Arabidopsis thaliana: one gene and its partner. The protein of the gene in region 1 interacts with the protein of each later gene in a pairwise test. Each region holds a gene or a part of one and is shown in the gene's direction. Other genes may lie near its edges. The genes, in order: CDKB2;2 and CYCP2;1.

Evidence for each region.
Region 2: the proteins of CDKB2;2 (region 1) and CYCP2;1 interact in a two-hybrid assay, tested with the Arabidopsis thaliana proteins (one study listed by BioGRID).

What each region holds. Positions count from the first base shown.
Region 1 is NC_003070.9:7,291,727-7,296,568, reverse strand, and holds CDKB2;2 (cyclin-dependent kinase B2;2), read left to right. Parts: upstream 1-1,822; 5' UTR 1,823-1,904; coding exon 1,905-2,137; intron 2,138-2,518; coding exon 2,519-2,660; intron 2,661-2,748; coding exon 2,749-2,810; intron 2,811-2,902; coding exon 2,903-3,014; intron 3,015-3,146; coding exon 3,147-3,240; intron 3,241-3,327; coding exon 3,328-3,397; intron 3,398-3,488; coding exon 3,489-3,627; intron 3,628-3,721; coding exon 3,722-3,817; 3' UTR 3,818-4,061; downstream 4,062-4,842. Other genes in the region: AT1G20940 (F-box family protein), read left to right, coding at 51-1,295; AT1G20925 (Auxin efflux carrier family protein), read right to left, coding at 4,062-4,186, 4,270-4,455, 4,544-4,596, 4,676-4,776.
Region 2 is NC_003074.8:7,703,289-7,707,155, reverse strand, and holds CYCP2;1 (cyclin p2;1), read left to right. Parts: upstream 1-2,197; 5' UTR 2,198-2,342; coding exon 2,343-2,728; intron 2,729-2,982; coding exon 2,983-3,229; 3' UTR 3,230-3,357; downstream 3,358-3,867. Other genes in the region: BBX10 (B-box type zinc finger protein with CCT domain-containing protein), read right to left, coding at 1-420.

The sequences.
Region 1 (4,842 bases):
ATGTTGAAAATAACACAAAAATATTCACATACGCCAAGCAAAATAGAATCATGAATAATTTGCCAAGAAATTCTCAATTTGATTCATCTTCCATCATCAATGATTTACCTTTAGACCTTCTCGACGAGATTCTCTTCAGATTAGAACCCAAATCTATGGCTATGATGCGATGCACTAACAATTCTATCAAATCATATTTAAGTGATCCAAGATTTGGACCGGAATATCCTTCATGGGTCAGACCTAGTTTGTTTAACCTTGGTAGCTATGGCGCTACTTATGTATGTTGCCATCCTTTGGTCTCTTCATGCGATTATATGTCACCGGGAAATGGAGTAGAACTGTTTGATGGTAGTGCGGATTGTTACATTTTCGGCTCATGCTCTGGTCTTCTCCTATTGTACATTGGTTGTCTCTTTGTTGCAAATCCCTTAACAAAAAGGTTTCGAATCCTGGATCATTCTGGATCAAAGCTTATACCAATGATAGTTAATGGTGGACTTAAAGGTCTTAGCGGAATTAGTTATCCTGGAGGTAATGTTGCTTGTACGGAACGAGCGATGTGCGTTGGATTTGCGGTAAATCGAAATCTAACAACCAAGAGATTCAAGATCGTGGGCATACTCGAGATGGAAAACGTATACGGATTCGAGATCAACGAAGGAGACTCTTGGAGATTATCGGAAACGAGTATCACCACTAGCTCAAAAAGTGATCTCACTACGCGGATGAAACCTGTTTACTTGGACAACACTCTTCACTGGCTGAGAAACGATGGCAGCATCATGTCTTTTAATCCCGAGACAGAGCAAGCATGCTTGATTCCTTCCATATTTCATCGGGAACCGGATACGAAGCTACTTTTCGCGGAAAGCGTTAAGATCAATCGCCTGACCCTAATTTCGGGGACGATAGAAACAATCTCCGTTTACACACTTGTCGAGAATCACAAATGGACACTCACAAGGCGGATCAAGAACATATCTATCGAGGAAGAAACGCTTGTATATTGGAACATAGCTATGTACGATGGCAAGTGTCTTGTGGTGAGGGTGAAAAAGATGGGTTTAGAACCTTTGGCAAGTGTTCTTCATGTGTACGACATGGAAGCTAACAGTTGGGGAGTTTTGGTGTCAACCCTTGCTTGGCCCAATTGCGTCCGAGATTTCTATAAATTGACGCCCTCCTTGTTCTTTGTAGAGGAGGATGAGCAACAGAAGGTGCTTGTTGCTTCTAATGACCGACGCATCTCCTATATAAATTCGATTATGGGACTCATTGATACCACCAAGTAAACATTTAGGGCCTATAGATTATACAAAAAATGTCCTGATTTATAAGAATGTTTGTTTCCCATTTGCTTTTATCATTGCACTATTATGGTTTATGTATTTCAAATCTAAAAATTAGTTGTATATTACTATTTCTTTTGGGACAAAAAATCATTTAAGACAATGTTGTTTAAGAACTTGTTCTTCTCTGGCTTGTCAATTTTTCGTCCTGCCCAATAAAGGCCCATCTTGTGTGTTTTGTCGAATCTAACAACAAACTCACACCTTTTGACCAAAAAACAAACTCTCCCCTTTTTTTTTTCCTTTCGTGTAGCTAAACCGTCTCCGGATGTTGACAAACATTGGTTATTCACTTTTTCCACGTCACACTTAAAAACAGAACATAAAAAAAAAACTAATGACGACGCTCCAGTTTTGAATTTTGAAAAAAGAAAAAAAGAACCGTTGAAAAAACATGAGTGCTCAAAGAGGGAATATACCTTTTTAATAATCTCCTTCCTATTTAAACCAATTCTCGAATCTAATTACATTTCCTCTCTCTTTCCCCAAATTGAAAACAAAATCTGAGATTCGCGAAGGAAGAAGAAGAGTTGTCTTGAGAGATTGATAGAGATGGACAACAATGGAGTTAAACCCGCTGTTTCCGCCATGGAAGCCTTTGAAAAGCTTGAGAAAGTAGGTGAAGGGACTTATGGGAAAGTTTACAGAGCAAGAGAGAAAGCTACTGGGATGATCGTTGCTTTGAAGAAGACGCGTCTCCATGAGGATGAAGAAGGTGTTCCTCCCACTACTCTTCGCGAGATCTCTATCTTGCGTATGCTCGCTCGTGATCCTCACATCGTTAGGTTCGATTTCCTTTTACATTTCTGATTCGGTTCAGTCACTTTCTGAAATTCTCCGATTTACTGGTTTTGATTGTGGATTTAGGACTCAATTTCGATTTCTAGGGTTTAGTCCCGATTAATTGATGTCTCAATTGATTTGATGACTCTGATTCTTCCTGCAAATCGCGCTTAGTGTCGCTCTTAGGTGTTACTGGTAGATCTTAGTTTCAGTTTGCTATTTGTTGTGTGGTCCGATCGAGATAAAATGGGTTCCTTATCTTATCCGAATACTAGAAAATGTCAAAGTAGAAGCTCTGTGTTGTGATCTCAGTTTCAACTATTTTTGTGGTGATTGCATTTCTACTGAGAGATTATTGTTATGATGATTATCTTCTTCTACAGGTTGATGGATGTTAAGCAAGGAATAAACAAAGAAGGAAAAACTGTACTTTACCTTGTTTTCGAGTATGTTGATACTGATCTCAAGAAATTCATCAGAAGCTTTCGTCAAGCTGGACAGAACATTCCACAAAATACTGTCAAGGTTTGGATATTTGGAGATTTTGTTCTGCTTTTTTTCTCTCATCCGATAAGCCCCTTTAAGCTAAGAGAAACATGTTCTTGAATTGCAGTGCTTGATGTACCAGTTATGCAAAGGCATGGCTTTTTGCCATGGTCATGGAGTGTTGCACAGGTAAAAATCGTCTTTGTTTTGGAAGAACTATGACTTGAGATAACCCATTTTGACACAGATCTCTAATCCTACTTGTCTTGGTTTCATTACAGGGATCTTAAGCCTCACAATCTCTTGATGGACCGGAAGACAATGACGCTCAAAATAGCAGATCTTGGATTAGCCAGAGCCTTCACTCTCCCAATGAAAAAGTATACACATGAGGTATATAAGTCTACGTTGATGAAACATTAGTCCTGTTTCATTCTAGTTTTTTTTTTTTTTTTTAATTCTATCTTAGTTTATCTGGAGTTATAACTCAGGATGATTTTACCCCCATGATTTCATTTGCAACAGATTCTAACTCTATGGTATAGAGCTCCGGAAGTTCTTCTTGGAGCAACCCATTACTCTACTGGAGTGGATATGTGGTCTGTTGGCTGTATTTTTGGTACAAAATCTTCTCTTACAGTTTCACTGGTTTCAGTTCAATGTCACTAGCAAGAACTAACAGTTTTGTTTCCTTTTTGATGTGTAGCTGAACTAGTGACCAAGCAAGCAATCTTTGCGGGAGACTCTGAGCTCCAACAGCTCCTCCGTATATTCAGGTAAGTCTTTGTGTTCATCTTTACCTTTAAGACACAAACATGACATTCGCTAACTTGGTTGTTCTGTTTCTTTCTTTCCTGTCAAACTCAGGTTGTTGGGAACACCAAACGAAGAAGTTTGGCCTGGAGTAAGCAAACTCAAGGACTGGCATGAATACCCGCAATGGAAACCGTTGAGTCTCTCCACAGCTGTGCCAAACCTCGACGAGGCTGGACTTGATCTCTTATCTGTAAGTCTCTAGTGTCTAACACACCTCTCAGACCTTGCTTGATTAGTAGATAATCACTCTGCTGAGACTAATTTGTGTTTCTCTTTGTGCACAGAAAATGCTGGAGTACGAGCCAGCAAAACGAATCTCAGCAAAGAAAGCTATGGAGCATCCTTACTTCGATGATTTGCCTGACAAGTCCTCTCTCTGAGGCTCTCTTTATAAACTCTCAATAGGATATTTTGTTCTATCTCTGTCTTTGCTTGTCTCAAGCATTTATCTGCTATCTTAGGATGATTGAAGTTTCAATATTCCCTTTTGATTGGGTCTCTATTCCCAATTGTATAACCTTCCAACATTTTTATCAATGAAAGAATATATCAGTTTCTCTAATATTTCAAAGTAGCAAGATTTGCAACTGTTTCCCATTTGTGTAAGTGTGTGTGTGTGGATGTTCAGGCTACGAGCCACATGAAGAATGTTGGCCAGACAGTGAGAGAAACTGAAGCCAAGGCATAACTCCAGAATAGAATCACAGAGCATTCACTTTCTCCTGATCCGAATAGTTGAGTGATTGTACCTGCCAAAAGGTCAAGTGAGTTTATGAGAAAGACAGTGTGATGACATGTTTTGGTAGTATTTTTGTGAGTCTGAAGAACGAACCAAGATTCATCGCTGGGGGAACGACATACTGAAGCAGAAGAACAAACTGGTAAAGCGGTTCGGATGTAACCAAACCCAAGTAATGCGCTCCTCGTACTATGAAAACTCCTAATATTGGCAGCAACAAGTAACGCACAACCACCACACCCATTATGACTGACTTGTTTATTCCTGAACCTCTCAGACCTGTGATTATTATAAGAGAGAGAACAGAGATTTAAGGTTTTGTCTTAGGAAAAAAAGTTTCTGCAGCCATTTGTTATTGTTTATCTACCATTGAGAAGGTTTCCTCCAACAATCAGAGTCAGAACAGGAATCGCCCCGTCCCTTCAAGAAAATTAAGCTACTCAAGTAAGCATTGTTAATTATCACTGACAAGTGAGATTTTTAATATGTTGTAGAATACCCCAATAGAGATACTGAGTCCTCAATCACTCGAAGTGGAGCTGTGTTACCGACTAGTAGCTTCCGTAGTAAAGGATTTAACCCAACCGCAAGCGCGATAAGCTGAAGAGAAAGAGGATTAGTTGCTTAACTAGTAAGAACATACAGAAGCTAGATAGCAGTCGTTTA
Region 2 (3,867 bases), on another chromosome or scaffold:
AGCGGTATCGAACATGGTATTGTTGAGATCATTCAAGGGAAAAGAACCAACGAACGGACTAAGCAAGCCGGAGACAGGAGGTTCAAGAATTGAAGACCACATTCTGTTAAAATCTGTAGGAGAAGGACAACCAGAGAAAGGATTCAAGCTCTGAACTCTGTGTCCTAACTCCGAACAGTTGCTTTCGTGCCAATGACATCCTTGGCAGTATGAAACCTTCTCGTCGAGACAGCGGATTGCGGCTGGCTGTGAGAAGCATTTCTCGCAGATCAAAGAGCGTATGTGCCTGTGAGACAGAGGATTCGCAGAGTGTACATGGACGTCGCAGTTTAGGCATAGTTTAGCCAAATCGGATTTGCAGTAAATCAATGCTTGCGAGGTTGCACAATGGTCACACTTTGGCTCCATACTTGGAGACATGATGATTGGGTAAACTTAAAGAAAAGTGTATAGAGAAGAATCTGACGTTGATATTGTTTCACGATTAGTAAAACACACGTAAGATCCTGCGCAACATAGATGCATGACCATTTCAGATACAAATCATGGAAGGAAAATGATGATTTTGGAATTAAAGATGGTAATATATGGGTGCATCATGCATGATAGGGTTTTGTGTTTCAATTACATTAATTTGTGAGGAAAAATATCGTAAATTGTTACGTTTCAAATAGAAACACAAATGTTTTTGAGAGCTAATACGGAGGAAGAAGCACTCACTTATGACGACCGAGATCGATTAGGCCGATTCACAACCTTTTTCGTAAAATGACGAGAAATTCAAAACCCAATAATGGGAGATTACAGAAAAAAAAACAGATTACAATCTAAGAACAGAATATTTTTTGAATCGAATGAAATGTGAAGAAGAACAAAAAAAGAGTTTTTTTACACTTTTACAGTGGTGTGCGAATCACGTAGAAGAAAGAGAGGTAGGGTTGCTTCTTTTATACCTTGTGAAAACGTGTGTCCACGCGGTTAAAATCCACGTGGCGTAATTATGAGCCTTGACGTGATTTATTATGAAGACATGCATAGGTAATTGTGATTATATCGCTTGTCAAGATAGTACTATCTGATTTTTTTCTTGCTCGATAGATTTTGTGCTCTGTGGCAAACCTTAAAACTCGTTGTTTCGGGTCGATACTAGCTATTACTAGTGTTACTTACTTGTGGTTCCCAATAAATTTATTGATATCGTTTATACGTGTAATACATGTCGTAATTTACTTGAATATTGAGCCACGTACGTTTCTTTTTCGAAAATATGTTCTCAACTAGTTTGAAAGAGTTATCAGTTTTTCTGAATTGTGTGATGTCTTTTGGTATCTCTAACATTTGATATATAGATGTGAGATCATTGAGTCATTTCATTTGAAATAGACTAGGCCACATCAACTTCTATATTATCATCAGTTTAATGTACATGCATGTATAATGGCTATGCAGTTGACTCTTGAATAGAAATAAGTTGTTAGCATTTCTAACTTTTTGATCAGGCTACCCTCAAATTTTGGGATTCCTAACCTAAAAAATGTTGTCAGCTATTTCGTAAAAAATTTGTTTCTAAAAGAAAATTGTAAAATTTGAACTAGTAATTATCTTTTGATATAATCCTCAAAGAACTAACTTTTCTTTTTAAGAAGTTGCACACCAACCTAACTATTTAAAAGGATACAATTTAAGAAAAAAATGCCTTATGCAAAGAAAATGATATATAGATTTGATAGATAAAAGTAAGAAACATGATAACTATTAACGTAAACAAAGATAAATGAACTTCAAAACAGAGATAAGAAAAAATGGCCACATAACATTATATGACCTATGCATAAACTCTCCTTATCAAAACATTAAACATGTATGCAGTGACCGGCAACGCGTATGCCTTTTTTCAAATAATGTATCTAACATTAATTTACATCTATATATAGTATTTACATCAAGAATATATTCCAGCGTATGTAGTAAAATTTGTGTACTGTGAGACTTTTCAAAGGAAATTGTACCGGACGAGAAAATTATGGACCAAGACCCGGAAACTTAATTTTGGGTAATAATGCTAGTAATATGCAGAAAATTAAGTGGAAAATAAAGTTATTTGTTTGATAAATGATAACTAATTTCATTGCTCAAGGTATACAAAAATCATCGGAATCCTATCTTCTCGCGAAGTGACACGTGTCAAAACCATCTCACACTCGTCCAAAGTCAGACGAAACATGATAACATCCCCACGTAACATCTTAAGCTCATCGTATCTCAACCACCCAATCTACAAGCCATATATACCCAAAACGAACTATACAACATGGCCCATTAACGAAAACTGAAGAGAACCCATGTTAACCGCAGCCGGAGACGATGAACTGGACCCGGTCGTGGGACCAGAATCGGCAACGGAAGCAGCCACTCCAAGAGTGCTGACTATAATCTCCCATGTGATGGAGAAGCTCGTGGCACGAAACGAGTGGTTAGCTAAGCAAACTAAGGGATTTGGGAAGAGCTTGGAGGCGTTTCACGGCGTGAGAGCGCCGAGCATAAGTATAGCTAAATACCTTGAGAGGATATATAAGTACACAAAATGTAGCCCGGCATGTTTCGTTGTTGGGTATGTGTACATAGACCGGTTGGCTCATAAGCATCCTGGTTCTTTGGTTGTCTCCTTGAATGTTCATAGACTCCTCGTCACTTGTGTCATGATTGCTGCCAAGATACTAGATGACGTGTAAGTAAGCCTTTCTTGAATTTCTATAATATCTTGAAATTAGACTAATCATGAAACTATAGATCATAGTTGTATCTTAATTGATTAACAAAATGAAAGATACATTTTATATCTAACCAATATAAAATGAGGACAAACTTTGTACCTATATGTATGTTAAGTGCCCCTTTTAAGTTATTGATTTCAAGGTTTCAACATGTATTGGATGAGATAAGAGAGGTTTTCGTTTTTTCTAACAAATTTCATATTCACAGGCACTACAACAACGAGTTCTATGCTCGGGTTGGAGGCGTAAGCAATGCAGACTTGAACAAAATGGAGTTGGAGCTTCTCTTTCTTCTTGACTTTAGAGTTACTGTGAGTTTTAGAGTTTTCGAGAGCTATTGCTTTCACCTCGAAAAAGAGATGCAACTAAACGACGCCGTTTCTTCCCTCAAAGATATTCAACCAATGCAAGAAAGTCTCTCTCCAGCATCTACTTTATCATCTTTATATGTTTGATATATGTATATGAATTTTTTTAATATAACTTTTAACTGAACGCGTTTGGTTGACAGAAAAAGTTTACGCACTAACTATCGAAATTTTATTTATATTTTGAAGAAATTATCTCAAATTTTTGCTAGAGAAAAATAATTGAAATCTCAAACTATGTATACTAGAGATTTTACAATGTAAATCTGTTAAGTTAAATAGTTTGTAGATTTCAACTAAATGATATAAGCTATTTTTTCCTACATTTTGCACATGTTGTTTTGTTCTTCAGGTTCATCTCTCTATTTTCTTCTTTTCACTGTAAAATGATACTCCATGATGACTTAAGTATCCAACAACAACAAACCAAAATCCAATTCTAGTTTCCTAGTTTTCTTACTCCTCCAATCGTCTTCGGTTTATCGTGTAAAATTTCCTTTACATAAGAGCAAAACGCACCGTTTCGTACAGATCAGATCCATCGCACCCTATGATAAAAAACAATGGTCTCACACGCTCATCCACCACCACGTGTTTAACAAGACACGTGTCCAAACAAATTGACTTTGCCTAGTTGTGTTCTAATGGAAAAGTAAAATTCCTCTTTTCTCTCTTAGTTCAGGGAGGAGGCTCGAGAACAGTGCCCCATATCTGAAAGCTGAAGC